2 linked regions of the Drosophila melanogaster genome follow. The protein of the gene in region 1 purifies or fractionates together with the protein of each later gene. This does not show direct contact. Each region holds a gene or a part of one and is shown on either strand. Other genes may lie near its edges.

What was found.
Region 2: the proteins of Cyt-b5-r (region 1) and CG15522 purify together in Drosophila melanogaster (affinity purification with mass spectrometry, with the first as the bait; one large-scale study listed by BioGRID). This does not show direct contact.

What each region holds. Positions count from the first base shown.
Region 1 is NT_033779.5:16,782,816-16,799,527, forward strand, and holds Cyt-b5-r (cytochrome b5-related), read right to left. Parts: upstream 7,907-16,712; 5' UTR 7,818-7,906; coding exon 7,404-7,817; intron 7,085-7,403; coding exon 6,702-7,084; intron 6,630-6,701; coding exon 6,116-6,629; 3' UTR 5,959-6,115; downstream 1-5,958. Other genes in the region: Mhc (myosin heavy chain), read left to right, coding at 1-846, 1,436-1,514, 1,851-3,026, 3,094-3,999, 5,206-5,289; CG17928 (uncharacterized protein), read left to right, coding at 8,957-9,054, 9,128-9,458, 9,555-9,937, 9,995-10,508; Ugt37C2 (UDP-glycosyltransferase family 37 member C2), read left to right, coding at 11,421-12,992; Ugt37E1 (UDP-glycosyltransferase family 37 member E1), read left to right, coding at 13,780-14,477, 14,537-15,458. UniProt on the Drosophila melanogaster protein: May play a role in muscle cell metabolism.
Region 2 is NT_033777.3:29,915,232-29,930,151, reverse strand, and holds CG15522 (uncharacterized protein), read right to left. Parts: upstream 2,898-14,920; 5' UTR 2,635-2,897; exon of another isoform or gene 2,355-2,634; intron 2,283-2,354; 5' UTR 2,158-2,282; coding exon 2,031-2,157; intron 1,972-2,030; coding exon 1,577-1,971; 3' UTR 1,386-1,576; downstream 1-1,385. Other genes in the region: alpha-Man-Ic (alpha-Mannosidase class I c), read left to right, coding at 1-1,349; Jon99Ci (jonah 99Ci), read left to right, coding at 3,978-4,240, 4,298-4,853; Jon99Cii (jonah 99Cii), read left to right, coding at 5,565-6,362; Jon99Ciii (jonah 99Ciii), read right to left, coding at 7,113-7,910; trp (transient receptor potential), read left to right, coding at 10,089-10,237, 10,296-10,533, 10,595-10,737, 11,125-11,326, 11,421-11,597, 11,765-11,999, 12,055-12,353, 12,411-12,778 and 6 more.

The sequences.
Region 1 (16,712 bases):
CCAGCTGTTCCAGCAGAAGAAGAAGGCCGATCAGGAGATCTCTGGCCTGAAGAAGGACATCGAGGATCTGGAATTGAACGTCCAGAAGGCCGAGCAGGACAAGGCCACCAAGGATCACCAGATCCGCAACTTGAACGACGAGATCGCCCACCAGGATGAGCTCATCAACAAGTTGAACAAGGAGAAGAAGATGCAGGGAGAGACCAACCAGAAGACCGGTGAGGAGCTCCAGGCCGCCGAGGACAAGATCAACCACTTGAACAAGGTTAAGGCCAAGCTCGAGCAGACCCTCGATGAACTGGAGGATTCGCTGGAGCGCGAGAAGAAGGTGCGCGGCGATGTTGAGAAGTCCAAGCGCAAGGTTGAGGGCGACCTCAAGCTCACCCAGGAGGCTGTTGCCGATCTGGAGCGCAACAAGAAGGAGCTCGAGCAGACCATCCAGCGCAAGGACAAGGAGCTGTCCTCCATCACCGCCAAGCTCGAGGACGAGCAGGTCGTTGTTCTGAAGCACCAGCGCCAGATCAAGGAACTGCAGGCCCGCATCGAGGAGCTCGAGGAAGAGGTCGAGGCTGAGCGCCAGGCCCGCGCCAAGGCTGAGAAGCAGCGCGCCGATCTGGCCCGCGAACTCGAGGAATTGGGCGAGCGTCTGGAGGAGGCTGGCGGTGCCACCTCTGCCCAGATTGAGCTCAACAAGAAGCGTGAGGCTGAGTTGAGCAAACTGCGTCGCGATCTTGAGGAGGCCAACATCCAGCACGAGTCCACCCTGGCTAACCTGCGCAAGAAGCACAACGATGCCGTCGCCGAGATGGCCGAGCAGGTTGATCAGCTCAACAAGCTGAAGGCTAAGTAAGTATTGCGAATATTATTAGACTTCTGGCTAGCTTTTTCAGGTGCCAACGCTATCGAGATAGAGAGATCTTGAAGGATCTACAGTTTACAGTCTTCTTTCGAAGAGCTTTGGTTGCCGAACCCAACATAATAGATATTTTGCTCTTTTTTACCCATTTGCTAATCCAGGGCTGAACACGATCGCCAGACTTGCCACAACGAGCTGAATCAGACTCGTACCGCCTGCGATCAGCTGGGTCGCGATAAGGTAATATGTCGTGATAACTGGCGCCCGAGCAGGGACGTCCAGCGATTCATACATATACAGATCCATACACTGAACACAGCATGTTCCAACCAACAAATAAAAAAAAAATGCTACCACACAACTACGTACAAACGAACTACGTCTGTGTGTCCCTCTATCTCTCTCTCTCTCTGTCTAATGAAATTGAAGGTTATTTGGAAAAAAGGTTCAACGCAAGGAAAGCAATTCTCTCGCTTCTCGCCTCTGTATTTGTCTCTGTCTCTGTCTTTATCCCCCACAAAACATGAACTAACCCGTGAAATACGAACCTCTGTGTCTCTATCTATCTGTCTAAACCAGGGCTGAGAAGGAGAAGAACGAGTACTACGGCCAGTTGAACGATCTGCGCGCCGGTGTCGACCACATTACCAACGAGAAGGTATTGAATTTGATCTCTACACATATTATTGCTCTCATCGCGATGCTGTAAATTTATATGCTGAAAGTTCTAGTTTAGCCACGTCTACTACATCTGTGTATAGTATCAACGTAGTTGCAACGCAACCACACCGAAACTCCAAAAGAAAATTTGATTATGTAAAAACTAAAACGACCCACCACCACTAAAGTAATATCCAAGCTTGATCTACTAAACCCCAAATGCCTTGTACAGCCACTTGACACGAAACCAAAATGCCACACTTACAATCAATTATGAATGTTCCCAATCCCCATCGTGAAACTAATGAACATCCATTGCTTAAATCACTAATAGGCTGCCCAGGAGAAGATCGCCAAGCAGCTGCAGCACACCCTCAACGAGGTGCAGTCGAAACTGGACGAGACCAACAGGACTCTGAACGACTTCGATGCCAGCAAGAAGAAGCTGTCCATTGAGAACTCCGATCTGCTCCGCCAGCTGGAGGAGGCCGAGTCCCAGGTGTCTCAGCTGTCCAAGATCAAGATCTCTCTGACCACCCAGTTGGAGGACACCAAGCGTCTGGCCGACGAGGAGTCGCGCGAGCGTGCCACCCTTTTGGGCAAGTTCCGCAACTTGGAGCACGACCTGGACAATCTGCGCGAGCAGGTTGAGGAGGAGGCTGAGGGCAAGGCCGATCTGCAGCGCCAGCTGAGCAAGGCCAACGCTGAGGCCCAGGTGTGGCGCAGCAAGTACGAGTCCGATGGCGTTGCCCGCTCTGAGGAGCTGGAGGAAGCCAAGAGGAAGCTGCAGGCCCGTTTGGCCGAGGCCGAGGAGACCATCGAGTCCCTCAACCAGAAGTGCATTGGCCTGGAGAAGACCAAGCAGCGTCTGTCCACCGAGGTGGAGGATCTGCAGCTGGAGGTCGACCGTGCCAACGCCATTGCCAACGCTGCCGAGAAGAAGCAGAAGGCCTTCGACAAGATCATCGGCGAGTGGAAGCTCAAGGTCGACGATCTGGCTGCTGAGCTGGATGCCTCCCAGAAGGAGTGCCGCAACTACTCCACCGAGCTGTTCCGTCTTAAGGGCGCCTACGAGGAGGGCCAGGAGCAGTTGGAGGCTGTGCGTCGTGAGAACAAGAACCTGGCCGATGAGGTCAAGGATCTGCTCGACCAGATCGGTGAGGGTGGCCGCAACATCCATGAGATCGAGAAGGCCCGCAAGCGCCTGGAAGCCGAGAAGGACGAGCTCCAGGCTGCCCTCGAGGAGGCTGAGGCCGCTCTTGAGCAGGAGGAGAACAAGGTGCTCCGCGCTCAGCTTGAGCTGTCCCAGGTGCGCCAGGAGATCGACCGCCGCATCCAGGAGAAGGAGGAGGAGTTCGAGAACACCCGCAAGAACCACCAGCGTGCCCTCGACTCCATGCAGGCTTCCCTCGAAGCCGAGGCCAAGGGCAAGGCTGAGGCCCTGCGCATGAAGAAGAAGCTGGAGGCTGACATCAACGAGCTTGAGATTGCTCTGGATCACGCCAACAAGGTAGGTTCAACCACTGATGCCTAGGCACACCGAAACGACTAACCCTAATTCTTATCCTTTCCTTTAGGCTAACGCCGAGGCCCAGAAGAACATCAAGCGTTACCAGCAGCAGCTGAAGGACATCCAGACTGCCCTCGAGGAGGAGCAGCGCGCCCGCGACGATGCCCGCGAACAGCTGGGTATCTCCGAGCGTCGTGCAAACGCCCTCCAGAACGAACTGGAGGAGTCTCGCACTCTGCTGGAACAGGCCGACCGTGGCCGTCGCCAGGCCGAACAGGAGCTGGCCGATGCCCACGAGCAGCTGAACGAAGTGTCCGCCCAGAACGCCTCCATCTCCGCTGCCAAGAGGAAGCTGGAGTCCGAGCTGCAGACCCTGCACTCCGACCTGGACGAACTCCTGAACGAAGCCAAGAACTCCGAGGAGAAGGCCAAGAAGGCTATGGTCGATGCCGCCCGCCTGGCCGATGAGCTCCGCGCTGAGCAGGATCATGCCCAGACCCAGGAGAAATTGAGGAAGGCCCTCGAGCAGCAGATCAAGGAGCTGCAGGTCCGTCTGGACGAGGCTGAGGCCAACGCCCTCAAGGGAGGCAAGAAGGCCATTCAGAAGCTTGAGCAGCGCGTCCGCGAGCTCGAGAACGAGCTGGATGGTGAGCAGAGGAGGCACGCCGATGCCCAGAAGAACCTGCGCAAGTCCGAGCGTCGCGTCAAGGAGCTGAGCTTCCAGTCCGAGGAGGACCGCAAGAACCACGAGCGCATGCAGGATCTGGTCGACAAGCTGCAACAGAAGATCAAGACATACAAGAGGCAGATCGAGGAGGCTGAGGAAATCGCCGCCCTCAACTTGGCCAAATTCCGCAAGGCTCAGCAGGAGCTTGAGGAGGCCGAGGAGCGCGCCGATCTGGCCGAGCAGGCCATCAGCAAATTCCGCGCCAAGGGACGTGCCGGTTCTGTCGGTCGTGGTGCCAGCCCAGCGGTAAGTTATTGAACAATGGCATCAAATGCCTTCATCATCACTACCCTTTAGCCCTTAAGACCCCACAATGACCTTACCCACTCAGAGAAAAAAGTAAATATGAAAGCCCATTTGAACTTCTCTCAATCGAACACTTCTGAGCCTTCATTTTGCTGCATCAGCGCCATCTCCATTCACGTTATTTCTGGATCAGTTATTGAATAATGTGTATATTCTTCCCTTTCATATTGCTCGCGTATGCTCTGCTTCCACTTACGAAAACAGATCTAAGCCTGAGGCATCACCATCGAATAAAAAATCTATATAGCGATCCAATTATGGTTCATTTACGATAATGAGAGAACAAAAACCATGCAAAGAGAATTATAGCTTATAAGAATTATTATAAAATAAATACTAATAACAATAATATAGATGCATCACATGACATTCGCTAGCAGACAAAAATGTATAAATTAGAGGCCACCCCAATCAAAAATCAATGGATCAATTCATCGAATACCAACCAAGAATGCGTTCATTTTGACAGAAAACCAGACAAAAAGCCAAAAAAATATTGCAAATAAAAAAGCAAGCAACCAACGCAGCACCAGGCTAAATCAATCGAAATGCTTTCTTTACCACTATTTACAAAAAAGAGAAAAAACAATACTATTCTTCCACTATATTATTATAAACTGTATTTGTACATGTGTACTGCAGCCGACAGCGTCAAAGGGCCGCAAGAGCGCGCTGCTGGAGCAGTAGAAACTTTCTTGAAACATTTGTAAGTGGACGTGTTCGTGCACGTCTTGACCCGTTCTTGTTGTGTCGGAACTCATCCCTCCCACTCCCGCACACGCACACCAGTCAGTCAATCAACCGCAGCTCATCTAGTTGTCTCGCTCACTCGTTCGTTGTCGTTGCTCATAGTATCCGTATCGTCTCGCTGTCGTACTCGTCAAGCGTTCTCGCTCCACTCTCATTCGACACAAGCAAGACACTCTATCTCTCGCTCGAAGAGCATTTACGTACCTCAGTTACCGTTCTTTCACCGCGCCACTCGCTGGCACTACAAAACGTGTTCAGGGAGTGCTAGTCGTACTCGTTATCGTTCTATCCCGTGCAGTCGATCCAACATGGCGACTTGTCCCATCCCCGGCATGTTTAAATATACTAATTATTCTTGAACTAATTTTAATCAACCGATTTATCTCTCTTCCGCAGCCCCGTGCGACGTCCGTTAGGCCACAATTCGACGGATTGGCCTTCCCACCAAGATTCGACCTTGCTCCTGAAAACGAATTCTAAATGCCATTTCATTTTTTAATTTATTTTAAATGATATTTCATAATGATTATGTTTATGATTTTAATTTAATTTCTTAATTTAAAAACAAAATAATAAAACTATAACAAAATAAATATCGAAAACGACGGGAGGCAAACCACCAACAACGCCAGATGCACTTAGGCAAAAAAATAAAATCATATAACAACAATCGATCACCATCGATTAGCATACATAATACATAAGTGATCAGTAACAGGCTATTGTGTAAGCGCGACATTTGCCATGGGGACACTGCTCGCTGGACCTGTATTTGTATTTGTATTTATATATTTTTATACAACTTTCGAAATGCATTCAACCAACTAACTATGAAAGAACCATCGACTCTCAACCGAACAACATGAGAATAATCGCGAAACGTGAGCCCCGTCAAAATGAAGGCCCCGCGGAGGTGTCCGCCGGTAAATGTCGCCCGCAGTTCGAATATTTTGCTCTATATGTACTCCCAATATTGTTTGTCATGCAGACCAGACAAGACTTACGGACGACACGAGCTACACACTGCGCTTATGTTTATGTTTAACTCTGACTCTATCTAACAATGATAGGGAGATAAGATCATCACTTGACACTAAATGAAAAGTATACAAAAAAGGAACAAAATAAATGTAAATCAATTTAACAAATGTGTATTATTTTCCGTGATCAAATCATTCGACTGGGACATATTCATTCATATTTACTGGCCATACGTGTTAAGAAATTGTCACAGGTCTTTTGTAAACTAATAAGATGTTGTGGATATATTTATTTACTTTTACTTAAGCCCCATACAAATTAAGTCCTACTTTCCCGCCCCAGGAGCCCTGGGATTGGGCTCGATGCGCAATAGTTGCTTGTGCTGGCCAATCATGTGCTCGATGTGGTTGCACTCGCGGAGATGACCCTTGAACTCATCGAGAGTCTGGTAAAGCACCGGATAGAGGGCGGGCAGGAGGCCATGATCCAGGGTCGGGAAGAGATGGTGGAGCACATGGTCACCAAAGTGGGTGAGCACCAGGAACTGCGACCACTTGAGATCACCGCGGTCGATAATCGTGTCCACCTGGAAGAGACCCCAGTCACGATCCTCACGATTGGCATCACCCTCGTGATAGATTTCCGGATCGTGATGCGCCGCATTCAGACCAATCAAGCAGAAGCTAAAGCTGGCTATCGACGTCATCGCGAGCCACTGGCGCACGCAGATCCAAATGCCTAAAGATCCCCCGGTTCCCAGGTATATGGCAATGGGTATAGTCAGTGGCAGTAGGTCGTGCCAGTAGAGGATGTTGGTGTGGCGCAGCGAATAGAAAATACTGCAATATCAATCAATCAAAAGATCACTGATTAGACTTTGTTTACGATCACCGCCTCGATCACACACTCACCGAGTGCCCATTTGTATGAAGAAGGCGAGGGCATAGGCCACCGGCTCCGTGACCCAGGACACATAACGCATCAACTTGCTCTTGATGTGCGGATTGGGCACCCAGCACAGCAAGGGTTCGAACATCGAGAGTTCCAGATCGAAATACGAATTCGGATAGATGTGGTGGGACAGAGCATGGGACACACGCCAGGCGGCAAAGTTCATCATGCCCAGATTAAAGGCGTACATCTGCCAGTTGTCCCGACGATGAAAGTAGTTGTGGGACACGATCACCGTCCAGCAGAGGGCCACACTCGCCAAGACCAAAGCCAAAAGGCTGTTGTATTTGGCACTGGCAATGCCCAACAGGTAGAGCGACACAACGAGACCCAGGTGAATGAGCTAAAAGAAATGTATATTAATATATTATAAATATAATGATAAATTTTAAAGTTATCATATTAATTAGGGTTTCAGCGTGCAAATAATTAAATAATATAATCACACAGGCCGCCGAATACAAGTGGGGGCATAATATTAGGGCTGCGACACGTGAAATGTAAGATTAGATGTTTTTAGTTAGTAATAAATTTATTTATGAGCCGGCAGGTTCAACTTCCTATCAATAAGTAACTGATAAGAATTACTTAACTGATATGAAATGAAATCTAAGGCACGCCCATTTTCAATAAGGTATTTTTTTTTGCAGATTAACACTCACATCACTCTTCTTTTTCGGCCGCTTGTCTATGGTCTTTAGTTGCTCGCGGACTCGCTCCTTTAGCGTCTTGTAGAATCCGCCCTCCTCCAAGGTCAGTGTGTAGATTCTGGGTTCAGCCGCATCCCTCACCTTGTATTTGGCGATCATCTTTTCGGGAGCCGTGGTCAGATGATGTGCCTCAAAGGCTTCGGTGATGTCGGTGCCCTTGGTCTCACGAATCCAGAAGGGACCGCCAGGATGCTTGTCAATGAACGAGGTGAAGTCATAGATGCCATCGTTGATGCGCCACAGTCCTTCGGCTCCATCGTCCTGCCGTTTACCCTTTTGCCAGCTGTGTGTGGTGATTAGGGCCGAATTTCGGTATGTTGGAAACTTGGTGGCAATGCCACTCTTTTTCCACTCCTCGATTACCATATTGCCGAGTCCTTTTGATCCTTGACGTCTGTGGCACAAACTTTACCGATCCGAGCACCTTTCCGCTGGGATTCCAACGACTAACTGAAAGGCACCGGCAGTGGTCCGTTTATTTTATGTGTAGCGCAAATCTCTTTTGATTATATAAACCGAAAATCGAGATTTCCAAACAAAACGTTTCCATTTTGATAAGGCGCCGGTGTTATCAGGAGAGCAGCGCAGCTGCCGCCTTTTAACTATTACGTCTATTTAATTCTCACATATTTTTAGCAGTATGTTCTAATCGCTAATTCATTTGGTGAAATCTCAAGCAGTGGGCATGTCTAAGCACCACATGGGCGGTTCGAGCAGACTTCGGCGACAATAGGTCAGTGCGGTGGCCATAACAATGTTATGGTATCGCGGCAGTTTGAGGCTTCGCTTGGCTGGCGTGGGTCTAGCCGAAAGCAATCAGCTTTTGAGATTGTTGGGGGTAGTCTTATCTCTAAGAGCTCCAATAAAATAAAATAATTTGATAGGAATAAATTCAGCGATTTACTAGGGTTTATTAGCATGGCTACACGTTGAGTTCACTTTTCTTTTGCTTGGTAAGCATAGGTAATCCTTGTACAACTTACTTAATATGAAGCTAAGGATATAAGTATAAGTATAAGTAAGTAATATAAGTGTAAGTATTTATACTTATACTTTTCTTTTAAACAAAGTTCTGACTTATGGGAAAATAATGCAATGCACACACTACTCTAGATCGCAATGCTGGCGCCCTTCAATGTAAGTATGCTTTGAATCTCATTTACATACTGTTACTTTTTCCTGATAAGAAGTGAGAGCCACTGAGAGGAAAGCTTTCAATCGGCGATACTCTCAGAGCTTTACTAATTGATCGAGCGAGTGCGATACGAAAACAAAAGCCGAGCGCCGCTCCAATAAAAGTTCAGTTGGCGCTACGTAAACAAACTTTGCGGTTAGTCTGCATCTGGGGTGTCCAGAACGACCGGTTCTTTCGTTAGGCACTAAGATGAACTTGGGAATCAAACGGCTAGTTATCAGCAACGATTAAGCACTAGCGTTCAAGGTACTTCTGGGGTTAAAATAAACTCCATTTATCAGTGTACATCGATTAACAAACAGTGCACAAAATGACGCCCAATGTTAAGGACGATGGTGACTGGAGAGTATCCGGAATATCCAGAAATTACCCGAGCTATCGCCAGCATCGACCGATTACCAGTGAAAGGTTTGCATCGAATATACCCATAAATTTCAAATTAATTAAATAAAACTACATATTTACATTTTCTCTTGCTCAGCTGGCTGGAGGGGAAAAATGTAGATGACGAGGCCGAAGGTCTTTGGCGAATTAACGATACGCTCTACGACTTAAGCGACTTTGCCGCTCGCCATCCGGGTGGTTCATCTTGGATTGAGTGCACCAGGGGAACGGATATCACCGAGCCCTTCGAGTCACATCATATCGAGGAGCGAGCTCGAGGAATGCTAAGCAAATTCGAGGTGCGAAAGGCTGCAAGGCCAAGGAACTACAAGTTCACTCTTGAAGAGAATGGTTTCTATATGACACTGAAGCGGAGAGTGCGTGAAAAGCTGAGAAAGATCGATTACTCTCCCACTAAGAAAACCGAGGTATTGTTGCGATCTTGACAAGTTACTAAAGTTCCGTCGAACGTAATATGCTTGTTCCCTATGATATACTTATTGTTCTACAATATAATCTTGCAGTTTCTCCATCTTGGCATCTTGGTGTCCGTCTTCCTCTTCAGTTGGGCAGGCACCGTTCTGGACTCATTGATCTTCAAGGGTCTAGCTGGATTGGCACTTTGCTGGGTGGCAACCTCAACCCACAATTATTTTCATCAACGGGACAGTTGGCGGATGTACACTTTCAATCTGACCATGATGAACTTCCGAAACTGGCGAATTTCTCACGCCCTATCACACCATGTTTATGCTAATTCTCTGCACGACCTGGAGATGTCCATGTTTGAGCCGTTCCTATGCTGGATTCCGGATAGTCATTATGCCAGTAAACCTCAACGATTGATCTCAGTGGTTATCAGCCCCGTGGTATATGTGGTCTTGTTCCAAGGGCAGTTTCTCATACGGTGAGTGGCCAAAATAGTTTTCTCTGTATTGTACTAATAGGTTGCATTATATTTTAGCCTGGTCCTTTCCCTGACCAAAAGAAACGTTCTGTGCTGGGATGATCTCATTGGCTTCAGTCTGCCCATTTTTATATATTTATCCACTGGTGTTAGCCTGTTGAGTGCACTTTTAAGCTGGGAAATAATTATATCGGTTGGGAGCTTTATCTTCGGACTTGTTGGTCTCACTGCTGCCCACCATGATCCACGTATTCTACACGATGGAGATGCCCAGCGACAGGACTTCGATTGGGGTCTTTACCAGGTGGACACGATTATAGATCGCGGAGACATCAAGTGGTCGGATCTTCTGGTGCTCACACACTTTGGTGAGCATGCTTTGCATCACCTATTTCCCACACTGGATCATGGAGTGCTAAAGCATCTGTATCCTGAGTTAAGGAAAACCATGAAAGAGTTCGACGTGGAACTGCGGGAGATCAATCACTGGAGTCACATAAAGGGACAGAATCAGCAATTGCTAAGAACAGAGAAGAATCCAATTCCGCCGGGTAGTAAAAAGTTGATGTAGGTGGGTTTTGGAATTGTAGTGATAATTGGGGAGGGTAATGGTTATTCTGGAAAAAGGTTATAATAAAGAATAATATTGGGTAAATTATGCAAAAATGTATATATTAAATACAATGTGACTTAACAGACATTGGTTTTCTTTTATAAAGCATTTTGTTTACCTGTCTAAACAAAACGTGCTCTTAACAAAAGAGCTTTCTTCGATTCTCTTTTTGTTTGCAAAGGTTTGTTAAGAGCACTATAATCATTGTCGCTTTTTTAAGTCGTTTGTTACGCATAATTACAATTATATTTTATAGTTCGGCTTATGAGGTGCTTAAGCAGATCACTTAAAACTACATTAATATTTTAAGAGGTGAGAGTTTGGTGGGTGTTACGAAAATTGGTGAACTACACGAAATATATTTTGATAGTGGGTTTTTGCTGACTCATCTTGACAAAGCAATTGAAAAACGAAAATAGATTTTATAATTAAATTAATTATAAAACTGCTGCCACGGAGTAATCAGGATATGGATTGACCTTTAAAGAAAACTGTTTTAAAAGGAATACAATAAAGTTGCGTTTATGTAAATTAAATAAATTTTTTTATTACTTTCATTTTATTTTTTAATAACCTTTATATATTTCTCTGATAAAATTTATTTAATTTTTATTTTGAACGTTTGAAACGCGTTAGAAAAAAAGTTAGAAAAGAGCGGAGTTGTATATCAAAGAGCAGGTAAATAAGAGTATCAAGAGAATGAAATGTTACCGTCTCTCATCAAGGTATTTTTCGGAATCGAGGGGAGTTGATAAGCAAATCCAATGACTGGCACCAGTTTTTTCACCCATAAATAGGTTTCCGCTTGCCCATTTCTCTTTAGTTTCTATTTCGACAGTGGCCGGACAGGTCATACCAAAAACTAATCAAATGATCGGAGTTCACTTCGTGTTTTTGTTGCTTCTCGGCGTGGTTGCCTCCACCCAGGGAGCTAACATTTTGGGGCTCTTCAGCAGTCACAGTCCGTCGCATCTGATAATCCACATGTCGGTGGCCAAGGCACTGGTCAAAGCTGGACACAATGTGACCGTGGTGTCCATGCTGAAGCCCAAGGTGACGCACAAGGACATCCACCTGATTGTGGTGCCTATGAAGGAGGAGCAAGAACGCATCATGGAAGACCAAATGACCGAAATGGCCGGGCAAAAGAACTCACTGGTCAGCACTATGTATCGCCTTCTAACCAGCATGGATGTTATGATCAATGCCCAGGCGGAACTCCTATCCGACCCTCGGTTTCAGCGCATTTACGAGACCAAATTTGATTTGATGATTTTGGGTTACTTCATCAACGACTTTCAACTGGGTGTCGCCCATAAGCTAAAGGTGCCGGTAATTATTAATTGGATGTCGGCACCTGTTCCGGCAATCGATAAGTATACGGGTAATCCCTCGGAGTTATCCTATGTGCCCCTCATGGGAACTGTGGCCACGCAACCAATGGGCTTCCTCAAACGAACTGAAAACGCTCTCAAATCCCTGCTCTTCGAATTCATTTTTGTTGTGTTTGATTACAAATTGACACGCATTTATAATGACGTCTTTCCGGAACAAGATATGCCCACACTGAAGGAGTTGAGGAAGAATATCTCCATGGCCTTTGTCGGCTCCCACTTAATCAGTGAAGGACCTATTCGACCCCTGGTGCCAGCGCTAATCGAAATCGGAGGAATACAAGTAAAGGATAAGCCGGATCCTCTGCCCAAGGATATCGATCAGTTCATAAGCAATGCCAAGCAAGGTGCTGTCTTCCTGTCACTCGGCTCCAATGTCAAGAGTTCCACTGTAAGGCCAGAAATCGTACAGATCATCTTTAAGGTCCTGTCCGAACTGAAGGAGAACGTAATCTGGAAATGGGAGGATTTGGAGAACACACCCGGTAACTCCTCCAATATTCTTTATAAGAACTGGCTGCCCCAAGACGATATACTGGCCCATCCGAATACCAAACTCTTTATCACACACGCTGGAAAGGGCGGCATTACGGAGGCACAATACCACGGAGTGCCAATGGTGGCACTGCCGATATTCGGAGATCAGCCCGGAAACGCGGCACTGATGGAGAAATCTGGATATGGCCTGGCTCTGGATTTGCTGTCCATAACGGAGGACAGTCTAAGGGATGCCCTGAAAGAGGTTCTGGAAAATCAAAAGTACAAACAAGCTATTGGCCAATTCTCTACCCTGTACAGAGATCGACCCATGACCGCCAAGCAGTCGGTGGTTTTCTGGACTGAATACATCCTGAGACATCAAGGAGCACCCAACTTACAGAGTCCGTCGGTGCACATGAATTTCATTCAGCTTAACAATCTTGATATTTACGCATTAATTGTGACGATTCTGGTCTTATTTGTGCTCCTTACCCGACTGGTTGCGAAAATCGTATGGAACAAATTTGGGGGAAAGGCGAAGATTTCTCAGACCAAAAAGAAACAATAAATTAAGTTAAATTAAGAAATAAATATTACCAAATTGTATTTCATAACTCGCATTCCTGATTACGAAATTTCTCATGCTACTGTATGACGCATGCATTGAGTTATCGATAGCGCCAAAAGATTACTTATTGGCCTAGTTACTTGTTGTTTGGGACAACTTTGAAAAGCCATTAATAGTTTAGCTCATATATTTAAGAAATCAGAAAAAAACTGAAATATTAAAATATTTATATGAACAATTAAAAATGAAATATGTTTTGTTTTTGATTTATTTATAACGTTAATCGACGAGTCGGAGGGCGGATGAGAAATTTGAAAATTAATTTAAAAATTGGCAAAAAGTGGGTGCGTGATTGCTTTAAGATTGAAGGCTCAGCAGGAGCTCAAGATAAGGTTCAGTAGTCCAAAAATATTAAAAAATCAAATGTCATTAAACTATGCAAAACTATTACATAAAGTCTTCATATTCATAATGTATTTAGCAATTTTGTTTACTGATTAGACAATAAATTTATGCTTAATTCTTTTTACCATTTAATCGTGACTCCGGGCTGCAGATACGCTGTTTGACAAAAAAAACCTTTGCGATAGCGATAATCTTATAGCAATTGACCAGTGTGTTTGAACAAACTCTAGGCAGACTTCCCCTATATGCCAAGTCACTACCGCACAGCGAAAGGTATTTTAATATGTTCCCTATTGATATTGCGTTTGCTATATAAGCTAGAACGCTAGAAATATATTATCTTAGTCGTTTACACTCAGTTCAATTGAAAGGTTAATTCAAAATGATTGAATATACTAAAATCGGATTTTTGATTGCATTCCTTCTGAGCACGATGACCCAAAGCAGTGGTGGAGCCAATATATTGGGAGTTTTCGGAACACACAGTCCTTCGCACGTGATCGTGCATATGGCTGTGATGAAAGCCCTTGCTGATCGAGGTCACAACATTACAGTGGTGACCCAGATGAAACCGAAATTGGCGACACATGAAAATATTACCGTGATCATTGCACCGCCGACGGAGGAGAGACAGAGATATATCAAAGAATATATGGCTGAGGTATCTAATGAGAAACCTTCGTTCTGGGAGACCATGGTCAAGGCGATCGTCCAATCTTCCAATCAACTGGAAGGACAATATGAGTTTATGACGCATCCCAATGTCAAAGAGATCTACGAGAATCCAAAGATCAAATTCGATTTGGTGTTTTTGGGATTGATGGCCAACACCTATCAGTTGGGCATTGCTGCCAAGTTGAAATGTCCGGTCATTATATCGTGGGTGGGCATTCCGCTGCCCTTCATGGACACCATTGTGGGTAATGTCAACGATCCATCGTATGTCCCGACCGTAAATGTAGCCCTTAATGCGGGTCAAAAGACCATGGACTTTGGCCTAAGATTTGTGAACTTTTTTAAATATGCCATCATGTGCGTTTTTGAGACAGTATTGGACTATAAGATGAACCAGTTTTACGAGTAAGTATACAACAAAAAACAGAGCTAGAAACAGCAATTGATTTATGAATTCTTTACAGGCGAGCTTTTGCTAATGAATTGGAGTTTCCAAACTATCATGAGATGAAGCGACGAGTTTCCTTGTTGTTCTATAATTACCATTCCGCCAGCGAAGGACCCATCAGACCGACAGTACCTCAATCGATTGAAATTGGCGGAATACAAGTAAAGGAGCAGGCCGATCCTCTGCCCAAGGAGTTGGCCAAGTTTCTTGATAAGGCTGATGAGGGCGCGATATTTTTCAGTCTAGGAACTAATGTGAATACGAATACCTTTCGACCCGATACCGTTGATATCCTGTACAAAGTGCTATCCAAGTTGCCACAGAGAGTTATTTGGAAGTGGGAGGACCTGAAAAACAAGCCAGGAAATGCCTCCAACATATTCTTCGGCAATTGGCTGCCCCAGGACGATATCTTGGCCCATCCGAATACGAAACTATTCATAACCCATGCGGGCAAGGGCGGTGTGGCAGAGGCTCAATATCATGGAGTTCCCATGGTCGCGCTACCGATCTTTGGCGATCAACAGGGAAATGCTGAAATCATGACAAAATCTGGCTTTGGCCGATGGTTGGATATTCTCACAATGACGGAGCATGAACTGGAGCAGACTATCCGTGAGGTCCTTGGGAATCCCGCGTATCGTGAGACGATTGGAAAGTTCTCCACCCTTTACAGGGATCGTCCGTTAACAGCCCGTCAATCGGTCATCTACTGGACCGAGTACGTATTGCGTCATCAAGGAGCCCTTCACCTGCAGAGTCCCCTCATTCACACAAAATTTGTGGCTCGAAACAATCTCGATGTCTATGGAGTAGTTCTCCTGGTCAGTCTTCTACTCATAGTCACTATTAAGTTTCTATTTCGCAAGATTTTAAATGTTGCGATTGGTTACGGTAGTCAGCGGAAAGCGGTGGCAAACAAGCTTAAAAATAATTAATTGGGATCTACAATACCATTAATGGATATGCGAAATTTCAGTTGATATGATGAAACACAAACGTTGTTGTTAAGAATCTTAAAAAAAAATATATAAAAAAAATTAAAGAAAAAGTAACTTATTCACTCTTTTCGTATTTCTTTTTTGCATCTCTTTCTTAAAAAACACTGATTATGGCGAAGACTACTATACAGATAAAAACATTTGCCGGAAAGCATGAGTTTGCACAAAACATCCATTACATATTGTTTATAGGCATGTACTTGAGACTTGTATTTGTGGGTAGATAAGGGGCGATTGCAAAATTGTTCCCTCGCAATCTTAAATCATTGTTAACCAAGTCAGAAACACTTTAAGAAGATGCCCCATACAAAAACCTAATACAAAATTCTGCACCTTAAGCAGAAAAGAAACCATTTATTATTTATACACTTGAACCTAACCTTTAGATACGAATTAGATGCCTTAACTAGGGTAATTAACTGTCGCCAGCCTTTGAAGTGCATGCATTTGTATATATATTATTTTTTTTTTCTTTAAGCTGATGTCATGCACCTTACACAACGTGACAGTTAATGAAATAGCAACAATGATTCCCAGACCTAGAACAACACTCGCTCAACAGGTTGCTTGAGCATTTCCATGTTCTCCCACAGCGAATAATTTTATTTTTAGAGGCCTCCCGCTCGGTTTTTTCTCTTCTCTCGAGAACTATCTCATCGGGTTAAATTCAAATCGGATCGAATTCAATTCTCAGTGATTCGAACGGCGTCGAGGCAGCGCGTGCCGAACGCGTATTGTTTTCCAAATTATTTCTTTATTATTCGAATGGCTCCTATGGGTGTCTCTATATAGACGAGGTATTTAAATATCTATCATAGTTGTTGTGTTAAAAGTCATCAAGAGAGAGCGAAAATTGATGAAATAATAGTTAACCTACAAGTTGACATTGACAATGCGACAAGGTTGCACTTTAACCTAAGTAATTGCAGCCGAAACATTTTAAAAATAGGCACAAGTTTTCTTTTAAAAAACCGCATTTTTCCGGGTTTCAGGAATTCATATATTACGAATAAAATTATTTGTATGTTTAATTTTATGCGTAATATATATAAACCAATGAACATCAATTATATTATATTATAATTATTTAATAATGACCAAATAATTGTACATATACAAATAATTAGTCTTGGAAATATACAAATTACAAGAGAATGTGTCGATTTTCGTCATAATTTAGATTATAAAAGT
Region 2 (14,920 bases), on another chromosome or scaffold:
TGATGATGCACGCCTGGCGAAACTATGCTCGCGTTGTTTGGGGCACCAACGAGTTTCGTCCGATTTCCCGTCGTGTCCATTTTGGTGGCGACTTCGCAACCTACAAGCTTGGTGCCACTATCATCGAGAGCTTGGACACTTTGCATTTGATGGGTCTGAACAAAGAGTTGAGGCGTTCTCGGGATTGGATAGAGAAATCCTTCCATTTGGACCGGGTTGATGAAGCGTTGTCCGTTTATGAACTGACATCCAGGCTGCTGTGTCCCATGCTCACTCTATATTCCCTCACCGGGGATTCCCTCTACATGGACAAGGCCATCCATATTGCCGATAAGATCCTGCCTGCCTTCGACACGCCAACTGGTATACCCAGACGACTAGTGGTCCCAAAAGAAGGCAGCACCCTCACGAAGTACCTAAGTGATATCTCTCGCACTTCTGAATTTGGCTCTCTGCACCTGGAGTTCTACTATCTCAGTGAAGTCTCTGGATATCCGGTGTACAGGGAGCGAGTGGATGCTATCCGCGAGATATTAGCTAAAACAACCAGGCCCAATGGCCTTTATCCCAATGCCTATTGCACAAAATTTGGTAAGTGGGAAAATTACAACTGCTCCATGCACCGACTTTATGATACCCTGCTAAAGTCATGGATTCAGTCCGGGAGAACTGATACTCAAAATGCTGATACCTTCAAAGAAGCCATGCTAGCTGTGGCTCAAAATCTGGTTGTCATCAATCCCGAGGACGTGACCTACGTGTCCACGTTCAGGAATGGCACTCTTTTCCATCGTATGAGGCACTCCGATTGCTTTGCCGGCGGGCTTTTTGTCCTGGGAGCAGCAGAAACCCAAATGAAGCACTGGGAAAAGTATGCCCATATTGGCATAGGCCTCACAGATACTTGTCACGACAGCTACTGGAGTTCTCCCACTCGGTTGGGTCCGGATACGTTTGCCTTCACGGAGGAAAGCCAGCAGGAAATAGAGCCGCTCCAGAGGAACTATTACAATTTACGGCCGGAAGTCGCGGAAACTTACTTGGTTCTGTGGCGCATAACCCATCATCCACAGTACCGCTTGTGGGGATTGGAGATGGTGCAGGCGATAGAGAAGTACTGCCGAATGCCCTACGGATATACTGGAGTGATGGACGTTAACAACGTTACTTCGGAACCGGATGACGTGCAGGGGTCCTTCTTCTTGGGCTCCACTCTGAAGTATTTGTATCTGCTCTTCTCCGACGACGACGTGGTTTCGCTGGAGCAGTGGGTCTTCAACAGTGCAGGCCATTTCCTGCCCATTAAGGGCGTGAACCCAATGTATCGTCAGCATAACTCATCGAACTAAACATTAGCCAATTACCAAAATAGTTAGCATCTATTTAAAGTTTAACTTTTAATGCAGACATGTATAAAAAACTTGTGTGATCTAATACTTTCACAATGAATTACAAAACCTAATTTCTAATTAGCTGGGAGCACACACATTGAGCACACCTAAAAGCACATACACACATAAATGTCAAATGTCGAACATTGGCCCGCTAAACCATCGCTGGCATCCGCCCTAGAGCTCTAGAGCTGGCTGTTGGCCAGGTGGTTGTCGATGACCCGCTGGATGATCATCAAGCAGTGGCGCTGCCTGGCCACCGTGTTGTCGATCAGCTGTTCCGTGAACTGACTGGCCGCAATGTTCGTGTTGGGCGGTATATCCTGCGTGCAGGATATGTACCTGTTGAAGATCTCCGTGTTCAGCGACGTGGCCAGATACCGCTCGCTCTCGTCCTGCTGCTGCAGCTTGTCCAGCTCCTGGGCGGCCAGCAACAGCTGATCCTTGGCCTTCTGATATGATTGCAGCTCCTGCAGGCTGGCATACTCGGCGCTGCTCAGTTTCACGGACCTGCCGCCGTCTTTCGTCATCTGGCGAATGTGGTACTTGCGCTCGGCCACAAAATTACCGAGCAAGTATCCTGCGAAACCACGACACACAAGAGTGACTCATTAGGCGCTGTCCTGTGAATGCACTCACCTGTTATCAGCATGAAGAAGCCAATCGTTAGCACCAGGGAGGCACAGGTGCGCTTGGAAACGTACTCGCGGAACTCCCGAGAGCTGTTGGCCCGCACCGCCGTCTCGTAGCTGAGTACCTGGTGCATCCTGATGACCTGGTCCCCTTGGGGATTATAATCTGTGGGGCCTGCTTGGCCTAGTCACGTCGAGACACTCGGATGTGTCCTTCAGAACTGGGTGGGAACATGGTGCTATCGGTGGTATCTAGTGCCTAAAGCATGGAATTTGTAATTAAACATTAGAAACTGTATCTGTGAGTTACAGCTGTAAGTTTCTTAATTACTTCGATATGTTCAAGGATTTAAGAGCGCGGAACTTGGAATGATATAACACCTCTTGGTATGTCATGTCAGGATTTAATGTTCTCCTTTCACATTTTTAGTTTGAGCACTAAAACCGCAGTGTCAATGCCCCGAGTTCCTGTTCTGGCGATGCCGCTGATACGGAGGAGCGTGACTTAATCGCCCCACCTTAAAAGGCAATCGCGAAGCCCGTTGTTATGGGCATCGCACACGGCAAACAGCGCGGTCCTTTAAACGCTTCGTCGAACACTTTTCACTCACTCGCTTTATAGGATATCGTCGGCTTGGCTCGACTCTTGTGCTGCCAGGATGGGGTACATATGCATTAAATTAATTAATGACTGCACTTTTGTGTTGCACTGCCCGAAGGAAGTGGGCTACAAGTGTGGGAATGTCCTTTGCGAAGGGAGCGCGCTCAACTTTTAATTGTATTATTTATGCTTTATTTACTCGTCGCGTTCGCTCGGATCCTTGCGCGTTATCCTTGCGAGCGGTCTGAATGCCCGGACGCCCAGTCGGGAACTGACTCACGCTTCGTTGGGGGTCGGCTTTAATAGCTCTCCGTTCTCCGTTTTCCGTTCCGTGTGGTGAGTTTCCTGCCCCGATATGTTGCACATTTCAGCGTGGCACTACGTCGGCGGAAGGACGGTCAAGGGGAAGCTCGGAGAATGCAAACAAAGGCATTCCCAGTAGCTTCCTAATGAGGAATGGGTCCGCCATTTCGCCCACTCCGCCCGAGGCGTTCCTCAGAAACTATATCGGATTTCAAGCCATCGCCTCACTTTGAGTGATACTGCTGCTCCGTAGTTCCGAAAGTGGACCTCCCTTTTGATTGCCATAATCGTATTTTCTTTTCTGCTTCACTATTCCCTGCAATACTTCAAGGATATCACATGACCCTCGATTGCCATTTCTGTTCCTTGGGGTTCTTTGAAGTCCCCCCCATGACACCTTGCTTGCACATTTTCACTTGTTGTGCTGTGACATATATTACTGGGAATTTATGCATAAACTCAACCATTGCATACAATTTGAATATATATTTTGAGGTACGATTATAAACTTTTGCTTTTCTGAACTTGAAGTACATAATCCCATAACGCACTCTATTACTAAGTTAATCCATTGGGTGGCATAAATTAAAATAATTTATTGCACGATAAGCTTGTACACTTCTATATGTGCATCGATAGTGACTTCATTGGTCTATATAAAAGTGTGAGACCAACAGGAGATTTTAGTATACAAAATGAAGGCTTGCGTACCCATATTGGCAGCCCTTTTTGGATCAGGGAGCAGACTGGCATTTACTATTAACCATGGTTAATAATTCTTTATGATTTAATAAAATTAAATGAATTAAATTGCTTGAACTTGTATCCACTCAGAATTGATTGAAGCACTCAAAACACTCTTATTCCCTTTGCTAACACTTCATTCATACTGCCAAACACTCGTCTTGAGTATCTGCTAGTATAAATCAAACTTTTTCGTTGATAAAAGTGCTGCGAGATAAGATTTCGCACTTTGAATTAGCATCGATAGTGATTATGGCTAAGCTATATAGTATTGGGACCACCATGGGAGCCTTTTAGTCTTTCAATATGAGGGGTCTTACACTCTTGTCGCTCGCCTTCCTTGGGGTCTGTAGTGCCCTAACTGTGCCCCATTCGCTGGTCCATCCACGCGATCTGGAGATTCGTCATGGAGGGATTGAGGGTCGTATTACCAACGGAAACCTGGCGTCCGAGGGTCAGGTTCCCTACATCGTGGGTGTGAGCTTGAACAGCAACGGAAACTGGTGGTGGTGCGGCGGATCCATAATCGGACACACTTGGGTGCTCACTGCTGCCCACTGTACCGCTGGGTGAGTTATTTGATTTCACAAATAATTAACGCTCTTTGATAAATCATCGTATTGCAGTGCTGATGAGGCTTCACTGTACTATGGTGCCGTCAACTACAACGAACCTGCCTTCCGCCACACAGTGAGCAGCGAGAACTTCATCAGATATCCCCACTACGTTGGACTCGATCATGATTTGGCCCTGATCAAGACTCCCCATGTGGACTTCTACAGCCTGGTCAACAAAATAGAGCTTCCCAGCCTGGATGACCGATACAACTCTTACGAAAACAATTGGGTTCAGGCCGCCGGATGGGGTGCCATTTACGATGGCAGCAATGTGGTGGAGGATCTGCGAGTGGTGGATCTGAAAGTGATCTCCGTGGCGGAGTGCCAGGCTTACTACGGAACTGATACCGCCTCCGAGAACACCATCTGTGTGGAAACTCCGGACGGAAAGGCCACCTGCCAGGGTGATTCTGGTGGTCCTCTGGTCACAAAGGAGGGTGATAAGCTTATCGGAATCACTTCCTTCGTCTCCGCTTACGGATGCCAGGTTGGAGGACCGGCTGGCTTCACTAGGGTCACCAAGTACCTGGAATGGATAAAGGAGGAGACTGGAATCTATTATTAAAAAAAAACTTTACTAATTTCAAAGCAAAAAGGTGCTTAAACAAGTTTTAAATAAATGAAGAACATATGCTGTTATATTTTGTGTATTATTAATTTCTTGGAAGATAGTGGCATATTCATGTTTAGAGATAAAATTACCAATAATACATAATCAATACATTACATATTACATAATACATACCATTTAATACATTACCTATGTAATATTAACCTATTAGTGTTTTATTTTTTGATAATCTAAAAATCAACTTGTTGAGAACAAAAACTGTACAATGTGCCGTATGAGTAATATTTTATCACACTTTTTTTTGAAATTGGTAGTAAATACTTTCAATAAACATTATTCAGAATTTAAATTTCTTAAAGATCATAAAATACTTTACTCCTCATTTGGGTAATCTGAGTATATAATATATTTTAGGTGAAGTGAATGTCCTTACATGATACTATCATACTGAAGAGTAAGTTGCAAATAAGGCACATGTCATTCCACTTCAAATTTAGGCCATAATTTACAAAAAAAAAAAATCACCTGTAGTGGACTTATCAGTCGACGATGGCTCGCGATGATAACTTGATTAAAATTTACTGCCCTCCCATTTTACATACGTGTGGAAGGAAGGGCTCTTGGTCGAGATAAGACTACGGACCACTTCTGTATATAAAGGCGCTTCGACATCGGAACACCATTGAGTTGCAAGACTTGACCAAGATGAAACTGTTCGTATTCCTGGCCTTGGCCGTGGCCGCAGCTACTGCTGTGCCCGCTCCCGCCCAGAAGCTGACCCCGACGCCCATCAAGGACATTCAGGGTCGCATCACCAACGGCTACCCAGCCTACGAGGGCAAGGTGCCCTACATCGTGGGTCTGCTCTTCAGCGGCAACGGAAACTGGTGGTGCGGTGGCTCGATCATCGGCAACACCTGGGTCCTGACCGCCGCCCACTGCACCAACGGAGCCAGTGGAGTGACCATCAACTACGGAGCCAGCATCCGCACCCAGCCCCAGTACACCCACTGGGTGGGCAGTGGCGACATCATCCAGCACCACCACTACAACAGCGGCAACCTGCACAACGACATCTCCCTGATCCGTACCCCGCACGTCGACTTCTGGAGCCTGGTCAACAAGGTTGAGCTGCCCAGCTACAACGACCGCTACCAGGACTACGCCGGATGGTGGGCCGTGGCCTCCGGATGGGGCGGCACCTACGATGGCAGCCCACTGCCCGACTGGCTCCAGTCCGTCGATGTCCAGATCATTTCCCAAAGTGATTGCAGCCGCACCTGGTCTCTCCACGACAACATGATCTGCATCAACACTGACGGAGGCAAGTCCACCTGCGGAGGCGACTCTGGTGGCCCCCTGGTTACACACGACGGCAACCGCCTGGTCGGAGTGACCTCCTTCGGATCCGCCGCTGGCTGCCAGTCTGGTGCTCCCGCCGTCTTCAGCCGCGTCACCGGATACCTGGACTGGATCCGCGACAACACCGGCATCTCCTACTAAGCAGTTGATGTTCAATAAACGATTATAGCAAAAATGAAAAATTCGACCAAACTATTTATTCAGTTGTAGATTGAGGGGCACATTATTGAGAGCTAAATATTTATATATTCTATTATGTACATTAAATGTACATATATTATAAAACTAAAAGTAATCTCATATTTTCCTTAAATGTTTTTAAAACGAGATTGTTTAACTTATTTTTATATCCTATTTTTATATTCTATCCATATGATAGCTGTTGAACGCTAGTAGCGACTATAGGGTATTCCTATATTTAAAACTGTTTAAGCTAGGAAAGTCCACTTGCAGCTATTTATAATAACATAAATTTATATTATGTTTATGCACTTTAATTATGTTGCAAATATAACAAGTCCAATATTCTACATACACCATTTTCAATCCAGTTTGCTTTTTATATACATAATATACATAATAATTATAAACAATACATAATAATAATACATAATAATAAGACGTATGATCCATATATATATATTTGCATATAGTCCGATGGTTCGTCATTATGTGTTCCTAAAGCTTGATTTTTTCCGATACATAAATCGGAAATCGGAATAAGTTTATTTCCGTTTGCAGTTTAATATATTTCCCTTCACTTGGAAATATTTTATTGATTTCATTACTTAAGCAAGAAGACATCTGAATCCCATCCCAAAAACAGAACTTGAGTTGCTTGCTATAATCGTTTATTGAAGAAACCCCTCAGAATTAAGGAACATCAACTGCTTAGTAGGAGATGCCGGTGTTGTCGCGGATCCAGTCCAGGTATCCGGTGACGCGGCTGAAGACGGCGGGAGCACCAGACTGGCAGCCAGCGGCGGATCCGAAGGAAGTCACTCCGACCAGGCGGTTGCCGTCGTGTGTAACCAGGGGGCCACCAGAGTCGCCTCCGCAGGTGGACTTGCCTCCGTCAGTGTTGATGCAGATCATGTTGTCGTGGAGAGACCAGGTGCGGCTGCAATCACTTTGGGAAATGATCTGGACATCGACGGACTGGAGCCAGTCGGGCAGTGGGCTGCCATCGTAGGTGCCGCCCCATCCGGAGGCCACGGCCCACCATCCGGCGTAGTCCTGGTAGCGGTCGTTGTAGCTGGGCAGCTCAACCTTGTTGACCAGGCTCCAGAAGTCGACGTGCGGGGTACGGATCAGGGAGATGTCGTTGTGCAGGTTGCCGCTGTTGTAGTGGTGGTGCTGGATGATGTCGCCACTGCCCACCCAGTGGGTGTACTGGGGCTGGGTGCGGATGCTGGCTCCGTAGTTGATGGTCACTCCACTGGCTCCGTTGGTGCAGTGAGCGGCGGTCAGGACCCAGGTGTTGCCGATGATCGAGCCACCGCACCACCAGTTTCCGTTGCCGCTGAAGAGCAGACCCACGATGTAAGGCACCTTGCCCTCGTAGGCTGGGTAGCCGTTGGTGATGCGACCCTGAATGTCCTTGATGGGCGTCGGGGTCAGCTTCTGGGCGGGAGCGGGCACAGCAGTAGCTGCGGCCACGGCCAAGGCCAGGAATACGAACAGTTTCATCTTGGTCAAGTCTTGCAACTCAATGGTGTTCCGATGTCGAAGCGCCTTTATATACAGAAGAAGTCCCTTGTCTTATCTTGACCAAGTGTCAAACTACCCATATGTTGAGCTGGAGGGCAGTAAATTAATGTCATCCAGATTACATAGGAGCAAAAAGACAAAAAATAAACAACGCAGAGGCTTGTACAGCAATATAAAAAACGTAAACTTATCAGTGTTCAATGATTTGCGAATCAGTTAAAAATACAATAAATTTAATGTTAAATACTACTCATCGGATGCAATTCATAAAATCATTTTCTACGTGGGTACATTCAATTTGTTTAAACACATAAGTATCTTATCGGTGCCATAAAGCAAATCAGCATTGATACTATAGATTTTTACGATCATGTTGAGGGCTTAGAGATATAATTTTAATACAGATGGCCATAAAATGAATTTTATCCCGCAATCTTGACGGTTTCCGGTGGGGAGACAGTGAAAGTGCAACCTGCTACGCAAACCCAGGGAAAATGAGCTCTTTCGCTTTTCTCGTGGAGAACTGAGCACATAACTCACAAGGGTCCTTAAAAGCTAAATAAGGCAGGAGTTTTGTTGGAGGCCAATGAATCATTGAGTGCAACCCAGTTGTACACTGCAGAAAATCATGTATAAACCCAACATAGCATTTAGTTAATGGGAACTTATAAGAAGAATGTGCATTTAGCCACATTTGTGTAATGAGGAGTACCTTTATATAATTACGAGAATGCCATCCAGGTATTTTCAGCTATGGCCTCTAATTAATTCGCACTTAATGAGTTCCCCTCGACAGCTGTGACTTTAATTTTGAAATTCCTTGGGCCACCATCACTTCCTTCCTCTTCTCTTGGAAGCCATGCGAGTGGAGTGTGGAGTGCATTGGCCCCGCTAAAAACCCCGTACGACTTGAACACGTACGATGCCATTCCGCCCGGAGCTCCATTGAACCCCACCTTTCGAACACACACATTCATCTCAAAGGGCTGCTCCGTGAAAGTGGGCTTGTTCCTTTTCCTTTTCTCCGCCTTTAGCCAGGAGCTGGCATTTAGTTCCAAGTGCATTGACACACAAAAGCCCTGCGAGCGCCCTGAAGTAAGCAACATTCAACATTCAAGGCTCAAGACGCTCGGCTGCCAAGGACGAGTTGGGTCTTAGATGTACACCACCCCACCTCCCCCTCCCACTTCCCATGCAGATTAATCAATATTCATCAATCACAAAGTCAGAATCACTGACCCAGTGCCCAAAAGGCATTCGAAATCATTTCAATTCGGTAGATACTCGACTGTAAACTGCAGGTGTGGTGTGTTTTCCGGCTCTGTTGGTTAGCCAAAAGCTTAAAAGCTTGCATTTTCTCCTATTTTTAAGGGCTTTTCTCGGTGAATAGTTCTAGGATATGAACCCAAGTCCATGAATCCCTATTTACTCGCAAATTAACACCCTCATGCTACTTTTTGAATATTAAGTAGCTTTGAATTTCGGCTTGAATAGGTGTCAAAAAGTATGCAAAGTGCGTATTTTTTTTTTGGGCATTGATCTATATTGCTGGGTACAAAATATTAGACACCTATTTAATTTCATATCTCAACTGTATGCATCATTTCATCGAAATATAAGCAGATAATATTGTTCCATTTAGCACGTTTTGTTTTTCACTTACATATAAACCCACTGGGCAGTATTGATTTGGATTTTCAGGCATAAAAGTGGTGCGATTCCGTTGCTGGGGCTTCGAAAATCGAAAGTCGCTCATCACGTGCAATGCAACCACAAATGGACGAAAGATTCCTGAACTGAAATCGCTAAAATCGGTTGCTGCCTCCAAATGCAGCCCCACAATTACCGAAGTGCGGTCAAATGGGCCCATTGACTCGGGGTTCGCCCACACATTGACCGAGTTTTAGCCACATTGGGCACTAATGTAATTAGTGGAATATAGCGACCCGTGGCTGCCACTTTTCAGCAGTGCAACGCGGCTAATTGGAGGCGGAACATCGCCACGATGGAACACTAAAGGATACAGTGCGCGAAAGGATTACGCCAAGGCTCCCCGAGGAGCAGGGATAAATGCCCATAGTGTTTGTGAGATGTGAAGTGACCGAGTGATCCGATCCTGATAATCGCGTTCGCATAGACCAGTAAATCAGTGCAGATATGGGCAGCAATACGGAATCCGATGCCGAGAAGGCGTTGGGGTCTCGCCTGGATTACGACCTGATGATGGCCGAGGAGTACATCCTCAGCGATGTGGAGAAGAATTTCATATTGTCCTGCGAGCGGGGTGACTTGCCAGGTGTCAAGAAGTGAGGCTTCCTCCCTATGGCTTCGAGTAACTCGGCTAATATGATTTCGTCCTTGAAGGATCCTCGAGGAGTACCAGGGCACGGACAAGTTCAACATTAACTGCACGGATCCCATGAACCGCTCCGCCCTCATTTCGGCCATCGAGAACGAGAACTTCGACCTGATGGTGATCCTGCTGGAGCATAACATCGAGGTGGGCGACGCCCTGTTGCACGCCATCTCGGAGGAGTATGTGGAGGCGGTGGAGGAGCTGCTGCAGTGGGAGGAGACCAACCACAAGGAGGGCCAGCCATACGTAGGTCACATCCTGCCGCAGAATATGCCACAACTCTTACTCTTTTCCCCTCCTTTGGCAGAGCTGGGAGGCGGTGGACCGCTCCAAGTCCACCTTCACCGTGGACATCACGCCCCTTATCCTGGCCGCCCACCGAAATAACTACGAGATACTCAAAATCCTCCTGGATCGCGGGGCCACGCTGCCCATGCCGCACGACGTCAAGTGAGTGGGGTGGTGTAGGGATGCAGTTGCTCGGTGATATGGCTATGTAGTGAGCTTCCTCGTCCTTCGAGCGGCACGTTCCATTGTTTGTCCAATTGGCAACACACTTATGTAGCACATCGCTGGGTGCCTCTAATTTTAGATAATTGCGGGCAAATTAGGGTGAAATATTAATACAGGGTGTAATGTTGTGTGTGGGAAGAGCAGGTCCTTGAATGTTCTTAAATTGGGTCAATGGACTCAAGCCTTTAACAGCGTCATAAATGTCCTTGCTAGGAGAGAAGGTCCTTTGTACTCCTTTCAGATTGATTTAAATGTATTTATTATTATAGAACTCTTGGGTTCCGTACACTTTGTATATCATCGCTTAATCTCAATTGTTTCTAGGTGCGGCTGCGATGAGTGTGTGACCTCCCAGATGACGGACTCCCTGCGCCACTCGCAGTCGAGGATCAACGCATACCGCGCCCTGTCCGCCAGCTCGCTGATAGCGCTCAGCTCCCGGGACCCTGTACTGACCGCCTTCCAATTGTCCTGGGAACTCAAGCGCCTGCAGGCGATGGAATCGGAGTTTCGTGCCGAATACACGGTACGGTAGTAGTGTGCAATGTAAGCGGTGGCCAGTGTGCCACTAGAGTCTATGCGAATGCGAATGCGAGCCTTTGTTTGTGTTTGCCCAACAGGAGATGCGTCAGATGGTGCAGGACTTCGGGACCTCGCTCCTGGATCACGCACGCACATCCATGGAACTCGAGGTGATGCTCAACTTCAACCACGAGCCGTCCCACGACATCTGGTGCCTTGGCCAGCGGCAAACCCTGGAACGACTGAAGCTGGCCATTCGCTATAAGCAAAAAACGGTGGGTTCGGACTAATCCGTGCACATTAAGGAACTGTGAAGGTTACAAGCTTGTGGCTAGATACCCATGCCTAATCCACCACAGACCAACTGGGATTTAATAGCTTTATATATAGAAACGGATCTTAGTACCCTGCTTGAATTTATAAACATTACTCCCCCTTCTAGTTTGTGGCACATCCAAATGTCCAACAATTGTTGGCCGCCATTTGGTACGACGGACTGCCGGGCTTCCGGCGCAAGCAGGCCTCCCAGCAGCTGATGGATGTCGTGAAGCTGGGATGCAGCTTCCCCATCTACAGCTTGAAGTACATCCTGGCCCCGGATTCCGAGGGTGCCAAGTTCATGCGCAAGCCCTTTGTCAAGTTCATCACGCACTCCTGCTCCTACATGTTCTTCCTGAGTGGGTAAAGTGGGTGCTTAACACTTCATCCATCTAAATATGCGCCCATTCACAGTGCTCCTGGGTGCTGCCTCCCTGAGGGTGGTGCAAATCACCTTTGAACTCCTCGCATTTCCCTGGATGCTGACCATGCTGGAGGATTGGCGCAAACACGAGAGAGGTTCACTACCGGGTCCCATTGAACTGGCAATCATTACCTACATAATGGCTCTAATATTTGAGGAACTGAAATCTTTATATTCGGACGGCTTGTTTGAGTACATCATGGATCTTTGGAACATAGTGGACTACATATCGAACATGTTCTATGTGACGTGGATTCTTTGTAGGGCCACCGCTTGGGTAATCGTCCATGTGAGTCCATATGAATCTAATGAATAAATTGGAGTTACTGAAACGAATTGATTTCAGCGTGATCTCTGGTTCCGGGGCATAGATCCTTACTTCCCAAGGGAACACTGGCATCCGTTTGATCCAATGCTTCTATCAGAGGGCGCCTTTGCTGCCGGAATGGTCTTCTCCTATCTAAAGCTCGTCCACATCTTCTCCATTAATCCCCACCTGGGACCCTTGCAAGTTTCACTGGGTCGCATGATAATCGACATCATCAAGTTCTTCTTCATCTACACACTGGTGTTGTTTGCCTTCGGATGTGGTCTCAACCAGTTGCTATGGTACTACGCTGAGCTGGAGAAGAACAAGTGCTATCACCTGCATCCCGATGTGGCTGACTTTGATGACCAGGAGAAGGCTTGTACCATCTGGCGAAGATTTTCCAAGTATATTACATTCATTTCTATGTACTTTATCATATTGGCATCCCATTTCAATTTACTTTAGCTTATTCGAAACATCACAATCGCTCTTTTGGGCCTCTTTTGGCCTGGTGGACCTGGTCTCCTTCGATCTGGCGGGAATCAAGAGCTTCACCCGCTTCTGGGCACTGCTAATGTTCGGCTCCTATTCGGTTATCAACATCATTGTGCTTCTCAACATGCTGATTGCCATGATGTCCAACTCCTACCAAATCATCTCGGAGCGAGCCGACACTGAGTGGAAGTTCGCCCGATCCCAGCTGTGGATGAGCTACTTCGAGGATGGCGGCACCATTCCACCGCCCTTCAACCTCTGTCCCAACATGAAGATGTTGAGGAAGACCCTGGGCCGAAAGCGACCGTCACGAACCAAGAGCTTCATGGTAAGTTACACTCAGAGAAATTCAATATTTCAGTTTAAGTATTATACAAATCCACACATATATATTAAATTCAGTGTACTCTACTTTTAAATGATATTTCTTATCATATTACTTTTAAATGTAAGTAACATTTCGAAAGTTCGATTTTTTCAAGTTGAATCACCTCACAGTGAGAGGCGGCTCACAATCAATACAAATCTTAAGCGAAATCATTTTCAATCAAGCCCATGCAGAGCTATCTGTGCGTCAAATTGACGTCTAATACATCCTTTCTGTGTCCTTCCACCCTCTAATGCTCCCTGTTCCAACTCCCAGCGAAAGTCCATGGAACGGGCACAGACGCTGCATGACAAAGTGATGAAGCTGCTGGTCAGGAGGTACATTACGGCGGAGCAGAGGCGGCGGGACGATTACGGCATTACCGAGGATGATATCATTGAGGTGCGCCAGGACATCAGCTCCTTGCGGTTCGAGTTGCTGGAGATTTTCACCAACAATAACTGGGATGTACCCGACATTGAGAAGAAGTCGCAGGGTAAGGGAAGCCTACCCACATCCAAATTGGCAACTTACACGTGTCTTAAGATAGAAGTAGCAGTATATATGAATAATTATTTACAATTAGCTTTTGAATACCTAATAAAGTTCACCCCATCTTGAATATTAATTTGAAATATGTTGTGCTAGAAGACTACAAAGCTAGAATGGATTTTAATGGATTTTATTCACTAAACTTACTTTTGAAGGAGTTGCTCGAACCACCAAGGGCAAGGTGATGGAACGTCGCATCCTTAAGGACTTCCAAATCGGCTTCGTCGAGAATCTGAAGCAGGAAATGAGCGAATCTGAGAGCGGACGAGATATATTCTCATCGCTGGCCAAGGTCATCGGCAGAAAGAAGACCCAGAAGGGGTAGGTCCACTTAAATCTGTAAGACGCTTTGAATAATGGTTATTATTCTCAACAGAGACAAGGATTGGAACGCCATTGCGAGGAAGAATACTTTCGCCTCCGATCCCATTGGCTCCAAGCGCTCCTCCATGCAACGTCATAGCCAGCGAAGCTTGAGGAGGAAGATCATCGAGCAGGCGAATGAGGGTCTTCAGATGAACCAGACCCAGTTGATTGGTAAATTAATAAAGATGTGCCCAATGTATGTATATTTCCATACCCTTGATCTCCTCCAGAATTCAATCCCAACTTGGGTGATGTGACGCGTGCCACAAGAGTGGCTTATGTCAAGTTCATGCGGAAGAAGATGGCTGCCGACGAGGTTTCCTTGGCCGATGACGAGGGTGCTCCAAATGGCGAAGGCGAAAAGAAGCCACTGGATGCCTCTGGGGTACGTTCCAATCAATATATGTATATGTATTCCCTGGCTAATATATAATCTCACTTGCAGTCTAAAAAGTCCATAACTAGTGGTGGAACTGGAGGAGGAGCTTCTATGTTGGCTGCAGCTGCTCTAAGAGCATCGGTTAAGAATGTGGATGAAAAATCCGGAGCCGATGGCAAGCCCGGCACGATGGGCAAGCCAACGGATGACAAGAAAGCAGGTGATGATAAGGATAAGCAGCAGCCTCCCAAGGACTCCAAGCCGTCAGCAGGTGGTCCCAAGCCCGGGGATCAGAAGCCAACTCCGGGTGCGGGAGCTCCAAAGCCCCAAGCAGCTGGCACTATCAGCAAGCCCGGTGAGTCACAAAAGAAGGACGCTCCGGCACCA